Daphnia pulex: one gene and its partner. The protein of the gene in region 1 binds, or shares a complex with, the protein of each later gene. Links are inferred from orthologs where the notes say so. Each region holds a gene or a part of one and is shown in the gene's direction. Other genes may lie near its edges.

Region 1 (4,453 bases):
CTGTAAATACCGCCTCAAAATCTTCTGGTTTGTAGCTCTTTTTCGTCTCTGCTTTGCCCTCGTCATCTTTTTCCTCACCAAACTCTTTATAGAAACGATCTTTATTGATAATTTGTCCTTTTGCAGGAAGCAACAATGTAGCTAATTTCTCCACGATCCTGAAACAAAAATAGTTAAAAATTAGCAAAGAAAATGTATCAAAACTGTGATTGAACTTACTTCACTGCAGAGTTTCTGAGAGGAGCGATAATTAGAACTCGAGGACGGACTAATCCTTGATCTCTATATTCTATTTCATCGGTCGCAACGCCATTTTCTTTGGCCTTTTTCAATTTGGCGTTGTGAAGAAGAACTTTGTCTCTCGATTTCATTACATGATTCAACGAGTGAAGGCAGTAAACTGTTCTAATCTCGTCATTGTTTAAATGGTTCATTTCAGGATAATAAACGTCGCGGTATTCATTTGCGAGAGTGAAAAGCTCATGCTGTAATGGGGAGAGCAGTTCTTCAGCCGTTTGTTTGTTGTCCGAGAGTGGCCTCGTATCAAGGTTGGAACATAATTGCAATTTAACACCGTATTCACTCAAGGGGATTCCAGTTTTCAATACAGGTAGACTACCAGGAATGACATAACTTTCTATTGTTTCACCTAGTAATGTAGGCTTTGGTTGACTTGTGTTTTTTTCAGGTTTGGTTGGCAGGTGAACCACCATTCTTCCAAGAACTTTCCACTTCAGTTCTTGAGTCTCATAAGGCTTGGGTGATGTCAGGATTTCTAAAAGGTTTTCATTTATTTCCCTGTCGAAATGAAGGTGGAAGGGATCCGTAGATAATGTTTCTTCTTCTTCATCACCAGAATGTTCTTCTTCCTCTGATTCAACTTCAAGATCTTCATGTATACTATTTTCCTCGTCAATTTCTTCAGCAACACCAACTGAACTACCACTTTCCTCTTCTCCTACTTCCTCATCGTCTTGAGCTGAATCTTCTTCTTCACTGCCAATGTCATCTTCATTAGATTGGTCATTGATATCTTCAGCTTCCTCTTCATCTGACTGTTCTTCATCAGATGTCAAAACTTGCTGTGCTCTACTACTGGATTTAAACATCGACAGCAGCTGTGTGTAAGGTTTGACTTCTTCTTCTGATTCACTGCTAGATGATTCTTCTTCGATAATAGGCACAGCCTCTTTTTCTTGTTGAAGCTTTTGTCTTTTACTTTCAGAAGTGTCATCTTTTTTTCCATCTCTATCTTGATTAAATTTCCTTTTGTTTTTAAAGTTACCTCCACCACGAGTCGATTTGTTACCACGGGAACCGTGGTTTTTGTAATTGCCACGTTTAGGCCCTCCTCGTCGTCCACGTCCCATTTTAAGAACAAAATAACGTTCGAATTTAATTTATCTGAAATCAAAACTCAAACTCAAATGCACGTGTCAAAATGAAAACTTTGATTGCAGACGTCCAAAGTTGCAAGAACAACACAGTTGATTAATTACAATTTAATAGTGTGCTGCCAAAAATGTATCAAAAATATATTTATTTAAATATATTTATTTATTTTATTCATATTTTTTATTTTATAAATTAAATTAAATGATTCCTTTAAAGTTGAAAATATAAATTGCCAACATGGCAACCAAAAATCACCAACCAAAATGGCGGGCGTCTGCTATCAGGGAATTCTACATCACCAGTGAAAATTAGTTTATTTACCGGAAAAGTTGACAGGTAGCAATCCTGCTTATATATAGACTGATTCACTGTTTAATAAAGCCTTCGAATGTAAAATTATCGGTGCCGTCACGATGGAAGACCGTTGTTTAAACGGTGGAGCCGACATGTTTGAATAATCAAAGTTTTGGTTATTATTGTTTGTGTTTTTGGATCGTTTGTTGTTTACCGATGGCTGGGCAAACGGATCTGAACAGTGGTAGTGTAAGTGGAAACAGCAGCCGGGACGATGTGCGAACTCATTTCACAACCAGAGAGGGAGTATATAAGTTGATAACATTAGCCGAATACTCCAGGGCAAATCGGCTGTCTGGTTACACTGCCATCCAAAGCCAGCAAGGAGCTGCGCTCGGTCAAGGTTCAAACCCTCCAGTTAGGGTTACTTTTGTGTCTCTACCATCTGATCCATCAGGTTTTTGTGACCGCATATGTTTCAACTATGGAAGGGAACTCTACTTCTACACCTACAAGGGAACCAAGAAACCAGCAGACTTGTCCAAGCCTGTTGATAAAAGGATTTACAAAGGAACCAGCCCCACTTGCCATGATATCAATAAATTAACAATCAGCAGTGAAAGTGTTATGCTTCTAGTTGGTTTCACTGGCGGACAAATCCAATTAGTAGATCCAATAAGGAAAGAAATAGGAAAACTTTACAATGAAGAGGTTTCTTGAGATTTTCTGTTTTCTTTATAAATTTATGGAATTTCAATAACATTATTTATTTTTTCCTTCAGAGAATAATTGAAAAGACGAAAGTAACATGTATCAAGTGGCTGCCAGGTTCCCCCAATTTGTTCCTAGTTTCTCATGTTTCGGGACAGATGTATCTGTACAGTGAAGATGTGACGTGTGGTGGACCAGCACCTCCGACCTATCAACTTTTTAAGCAGGGGGCCGGTTTTTCGGTCTGGACTTGTAAAGCCAAAAGCACTCGGAATCCCATTTACAGGTTATTATTCATCATTTCATTTTTAATCATTAATAAAATCAGGTTAAAGACTCCTCCCATCTAACCCCATATTTGGTTGTTAGGTGGGTGATTGGAAACGGCGCCATCAACGACTTTGCCTTCTCACCTTGCTCGAAATACTTGGCGGTTGTGTCGCAGGATGGGTGTCTGCGCGTTCTCAATTATGATGCCATGGAATTGATCGGACTGGCAACATCCTTTTTCGGCGGCTTGCTCTGCGTCTGCTGGTCACCCGACGGGCAGCTGGTAGTGGCCGGCGGCGAGGATGATTTGGTGACGGTTTGGTCTTTCCAACAAAAGAGAATCGTGGCCCGAGGACAGGGCCATCGATCCTGGATCACGGTGGTGGCGTTCGACCCTTTCACGACCCTGTATTCATCTCAATCCTCGTCTTCCAAGTCGTTGTCGAAAGAAGGAGTCGATACTTCGGTCACGTCGAACGGGACGGGCGGAATCGACGGCGAGGCGGAAACGAAATCCTCTAGCGACATTGCCACCTGTTACCGTCTAGGATCTATAGCCATGGACACTCAGCTGTGTCTTTGGGAGTTGACGGACGACGTCCTGAAACAGCCTTACGGTTCCCGGAGCCGAGCTTCAATGGTCTCAGGACCAGGATCGCCACCTTCTAGTCTGAAATTCACTGGCCAGACGCCCATTTCCGGCGATCGGAGTAGTAGCAGCAGCAGCAACAACGTTGTCACCATCACCCCGGTCAACAACTTGACCGTTTCTCCAGCACCCAGTAGTGCGACTGCCACGCCTGTCAACGCCGCAGGATCTCTCACTCAGCGGCTGGCGAATATGACATTTTCCGATAGAAAGTCGGGCCAGCAACAGGAGGCAGCAGCAACCGACTCGAAATCCCACCGAAAGAATTTCAGCCTTGGCAGTGGCCGGAATTCCACTTCGGATCGGTCGGGTAACGCGGCCAATTCGTTGGGTTTGAAATCCGTTTCTTCAGTCTCGTCCACTTCCTCCTCTGCGGGTACCACCACCACAGCGAACCCGTCGCTAGTGACGGGCTGTGCTGATCCGCTCCGGTTGATCGGCACGCAAGCCTGCCCTCGACTGGACGAGATCCCCATGCTGGAGCCGCTCGTTTGTAAGAAAGTCTCCCACGAGCGGCTGACGGCGCTCATCTTCCGTGAGGACTGCCTCATCACCGCCTGCCAAGATGGCATCGTCTGTACCTGGGCTCGGCCAATTGGCCCGTCTCCACACCACACTTCCACCAGCACACCCACCAATGAAGGCACCATGGTCTGAGATGATGATGAGAAAAAATTATCCATTCGTTACGTTCATCTCCCGTTCCTTTTTGTTTTTCCGCAATTAGCGACCGACGACAATTATCGTGTAGCCCTGTCAAGATTCTTCTTCATTAACCCCAATTCCAAACGAGCCATCTTGACCTACTCTTTTTCGCCCTCCAGTGAACAACCAAGTTTTGTTGTTTCTTCTTGTCTATCATCATCAGTTCATTTTTAGGTTTCTCTTTCTTTCTTTAACTGTGTCGTTAAACCCCAAACGGCCCTCAATTTTTCCCTCCCCTGGTGGTGGTTGGTGACGATATAACAACTTAGGGGCCCCGGATATGATTCTAACGGCATTTTGCAGATTCCTAATCTCACCACCTATCGTGCATTCTCCTTTCTTATCTTTCTCCTCCTTTTTTCTTCGATTACCTACAGGGTATAAGATGCTGTCACGTGACCTAGTGCTCCTGGCAAACCGATGATGATG
Region 2 (4,379 bases), on another chromosome or scaffold:
CTTCAGAATCTTGTTCTTGTCCATCTTCTAACACCTTTTTGAAGGTGGTAGTCGACATTCGCATTTTAGATTTGTTAGGAAGGCGACTAACTTCTTGCTTCTTTCCAGGACTTTCTAAAGATGAGGGGATTTCTTCAGAATCTTGTTCTTGTTGATCTTTTTTCCCATCAAGGGTTTCTTGAAACATTGATGTAGATGTATGTTTCTTAGATTTCAAAGGTCTTCGAGAGAGTAATTTATCTGGACTTCCTAAATCAGAAGGAATATTTGATTCACCCAGGTCATCAGAGGTATTGACCACCTGTGACTGCTGACCGAGCTGCTGGCTTTGGAATGCTTTGGAATAAGCAGAAATTGACATCCGTTTCTTGTTTTTTTTTGTTGGTATTGGTCGAACATCTAAACTCGGACTTCCTAAGTTTGACAGAATCTCAGAGTTATCAAAGACGGAATCATCCTGAAAGCTGTGAGTCCGTGTCTCATCAACACTCTTCTTTTTTGAGACATTTCCTTGAGATAGTACTTCATCATTAAGTTTCCTTTTCTGAACCCTCTGACTACTTTGAGAACTTACTACAGGTGTGACAACTTCTTCATTTTGTGGAACAAGTTTCTGAAATAAAAAAAACCATTTATTATACATGTTGGAGCAAAGAATTCAACAAATTACCTTATTAGGAGGTTCAAAAATTTCGTCTAATAGATCAGGCGAATCAACTGGTGTGGCAATATCAAAGAACTTGTCAATCGCACGTAGTGGTGTCTTAGTCTCAATCGATTTGTTCATCTTCTCATCTTTCGCCATTTTATTTGAACTATTACTTGAATGTTACTTGAATGTGAAAACCTTTTATCGACATTACCGCCACAAAGCACAAAATCGAATTGTGGGAAATTGGAGGGAATAGGCTACAAAATAACAACTTCTGAACTGCAAAGGCCAGTCAACTGCAATTGATAGACTGATAGACTGACTGTCAGCTGGTATACTCTGGCGAGTGGTAGTCCTAACTATTTTAGCTCAAAATGAAAATCTTTGATATGAATAAATTTTATTTTTCCGGAATGCTTTATTTCGATATATTTATATTCGATAAACTAAATGTATTCAATGTTAAGAAATGGCACTGATACATATTTCTTAATTAGTAAACTAGCGGTGGCGCTGTATAACAAGAAAGAAATGAAAAAAATAATCCCGCTAAAAATGAATACAAACTTTAAGTTTTGGGCTTAGTTTAGCGATATGTTTGTATTTACTGCTGGAGGCTAGATCTAAACGGCTATTTAATTAGTTTACTTTATAGACCAATAGCTAAATTTTAGAACTTATCTGGCATGGCATAATTAAAAAAAAACGGAGGTATTCCGACAGACACCGAGTACCGAGTTAACAAATAACAATGGCCTCCACCAAACTTAAAAGTAAAATCTGGCACTGCTGTAGTATTTTGAGCGATTGCGACTATCGTGTTTATTTTCATCGATACTCGAGATTAGTGAAAACTTCATCTAGAAAACTTCTCAATTTACACAACAAAAAATGGTAAAAATTATATTATAGCTTTAAATAATCCCTGATGCAAACATATTTTTAATTAAGGGAGCTAACGCGTCTCAGCTTGAAAAAGAAATCGGATCTGAACAATTTCCGACGAATGAACACTATTTCGGACTTGTAAATGTAAGTTTGACTTATAACACATAAAATGTGTCGATGAAAATAGCTTAAACTATGTTTGAATTTAAAATCTAGTTTGGGAATACTTGTTATTCAAATTCTGTCCTTCAAGCTCTATATTTCTGCAAACCTTTTCGTGAAAAAGTGTTGGAATATAAAATGAAGAACAAGAGATCCAAAGAAACATTGTTGACATGTCTAGCTGATCTCTTTCATAACATTACTACCCAGAAGAAAAAGGTTGGGACAATAGCTCCCAAAAAGTTTATTGCTAGGCTGAAGAAAGAAAAAGGCAACTTATTCATCAATAGTTTTTTGGGAGCTTTGGGAACTAATATTTAACTTAACGTATTTAGAAGAATTTGATAACTATATGCAACAAGATGCCCATGAATTTCTAAATTTCTTGATCAATCATATCAGCGAAATCATAACAGGTTGGTAGAGTAGGAGTAGATAGAGTTGCATGTTTGGAAAAAGGTTTAATGCTTAATTTAAAACAACAGCTGAACGACACCAAACAAACAATTCAGCGACACCGACAACTAATGGAAAGGTTCAGAATTCTAAAGATCCCTGTAACGGATCCGCGTCTCTGAAATTTGATGGCAGTAACGGTTCGATGACGTCCACTGGAAACCATGAATCAACGTGGGTTCATGAAATTTTTCAAGGAATCCTCACCAGTGAAACTCGCTGCTTAAACTGCGAAACTGTACGTATTGAACATTTTTTTTTTTAATTATCATTGTGGGTGGGCTACATCTGCTTACGTGGTTCAGCTTTCATTTTGTTTTTAATGATACAATTTTTTATCAAGTTATTAGAAGTCATGCAATTCTTTCAAAGAAGCTCTAGAAATCAAGAAATGAGTCATGGGAAAACGATCTTTTTTTTTTAAATCTCCTTAAACACTTTCTTCACAGGTCAGCAACAAGGAAGAAGATTTTTTTGATCTGCAGGTTGACGTTGACCAAAATACTAGTATTACCCATTGTTTAAGAACATTTTCGTCCACTGAAACCCTTTGTACTGACAACAAATTCAAGTGTGATGTTTGCAGTTCTTATCAAGTGAGTTCATTTAAGTTTGCACTTCCAACACTTTAATATACCTAGTTTTTTTTCTCGCTTCTACAGGAAGCTCAGAAATGCATGCGAGTGAAGAAACTTCCTTTGATCCTTGCACTGCATCTCAAGCGGTTCAAGTACGTCGAACAGTACAATCGTCACATAAAAGTTTCACATCGAGTGGTGTTTCCACTTGAGCTGCGGCTATTTAACACTGTACATAATTTATTTATAGCCAAATATTTAAATTTAAATTAATTTCGATTTCTTTTCATTAAATAACAGTCTGAAGAATGCCCTGACAGATTGTATGACTTGGTAGCAGTAGTCGTCCATTGCGGAAGCGGGCCCAACCGTGGTCATTATATATCAATTGTCAAAAGTCACGACTTTTGGCTGTTATTTGACGATGATATAGTTGACGTAATTCTGATTTTATTTTTGCTAAAATATTCGTTTTTTATCTATTTGTTTGGTTCCATTCCATAGAAAATTGATCCGTCTGCATTGGAAGATTTCTATGGTCTAACGTCAGATGTACAAAAAGCCTCAGAAACTGGCTACATCCTTTTTTACCAATCTCGAGACACATCCTGAAAATGAACAATGTATGGATATGAAGAGTTCTTGTTATCAACCAACTCCAAGAGTACCAAGACGCGCGTAATACATCAGGAGAAGGAATAGTAATAAGAAATTAAGAATGAACAATTTAAGGTTGTTGGATAGAAACTTTTCAGTGAAAAGTGTTCTCCTTGTAAATGAAAAATATCCTAGAGGTTTGTTAATAGTGATATTTCATTTGTTCAGTAATAAAATTATAAACTCTTGTTTTTCCAGCAAAACTTGATTGCTATAATTTTAAAATTGAGTTAAAAGAACAATGTCTAAAACAAGTAGACAATTAGACAAATGTAAGTTTTGTTTAACTTACTAATTAAATCTTTCCAGAATGTTCCGCGAGAATTTAAGTGAATAAATTGTCTTCTTGATTGACGGTTGTAAAATGCACGGTTTCTACAGGGGGAGGATTGTAAAATGTAAAGGGAAGTACGGAAGTTCAAAATTCAAATTAATGTTAAGCCTGTTCATTGTTTGAGAAATGTTGTCGCGCTCTCAGGCGATTAAGTAGCAAATATATATTTTTTATTATTATCATCCTTTAAATTTAAATTGGAGTACCTAATGAAGTTAAGTTGGTGACTTGTCCAATAAAACATACATAAACGAGTTTATATCTACGTACTTGTTTTATTCGAACTAGTGCATCCCTAATAGAAAAGTAGAAGAGCAGTACTCTAAAAAAAACGTCGGCTGCTGCACTGCATTTCAATCAGGTGACCCATACTGTATCAGTCCCGCTTTTAGTCCCGGAAATAATGGCCGCTACCCGCCGGGTAAGAATAAAACAAAATTTCCATTAGCAGAAATTTTGTTATCATTTTTTTGTAGTTAGGGATTGGTTTTATTCAATGAAAGATAGATCAACTTTTACGAAAACAAAGAAAAATTTCCCTTACGTAATGTTACATTAATGAATAGTGGTCAATATAAAATATTACCGATGAAATGTAAGGCTTAACAAGGGAAAGTCGTAATTAATCTAATTTGGTTCTATAAAATTATTA

What was found.
Region 2: WD repeat-containing protein 20-like (region 1) and ubiquitin carboxyl-terminal hydrolase 46-like share a complex: the UniProt entries of both Drosophila melanogaster proteins name them as parts of the usp12-46 deubiquitylase complex. The link is inferred for Daphnia pulex from reciprocal best matches to the Drosophila melanogaster genes CG6420 and Usp12-46.

The regions. Positions count from the first base shown.
Region 1 is NC_060023.1:10,107,452-10,111,904, reverse strand, and holds the start of WD repeat-containing protein 20-like, read left to right. Parts: upstream 1-1,592; 5' UTR 1,593-1,905; coding exon 1,906-2,400; intron 2,401-2,471; coding exon 2,472-2,686; intron 2,687-2,769; coding exon 2,770-3,976; 3' UTR 3,977-4,453. Other genes in the region: U3 small nucleolar RNA-associated protein 25 homolog, read right to left, coding at 1-158, 220-1,370. UniProt on the Drosophila melanogaster protein: Regulatory component of the Usp12-46 deubiquitylase complex.
Region 2 is NC_060020.1:4,003,379-4,007,757, forward strand, and holds ubiquitin carboxyl-terminal hydrolase 46-like, read left to right. Parts: upstream 1-1,402; 5' UTR 1,403-1,543; coding exon 1,544-1,546; intron 1,547-1,603; coding exon 1,604-1,684; intron 1,685-1,756; coding exon 1,757-1,973; intron 1,974-2,037; coding exon 2,038-2,118; intron 2,119-2,187; coding exon 2,188-2,396; intron 2,397-2,607; coding exon 2,608-2,754; intron 2,755-2,820; coding exon 2,821-2,967; intron 2,968-3,036; coding exon 3,037-3,174; intron 3,175-3,240; coding exon 3,241-3,348; 3' UTR 3,349-3,581; downstream 3,582-4,379. Other genes in the region: serine/arginine repetitive matrix protein 2-like, read right to left, coding at 1-613, 671-805; probable isocitrate dehydrogenase [NAD] subunit alpha, mitochondrial, read left to right, coding at 4,131-4,148. UniProt on the Drosophila melanogaster protein: Catalytic component of the Usp12-46 deubiquitylase complex.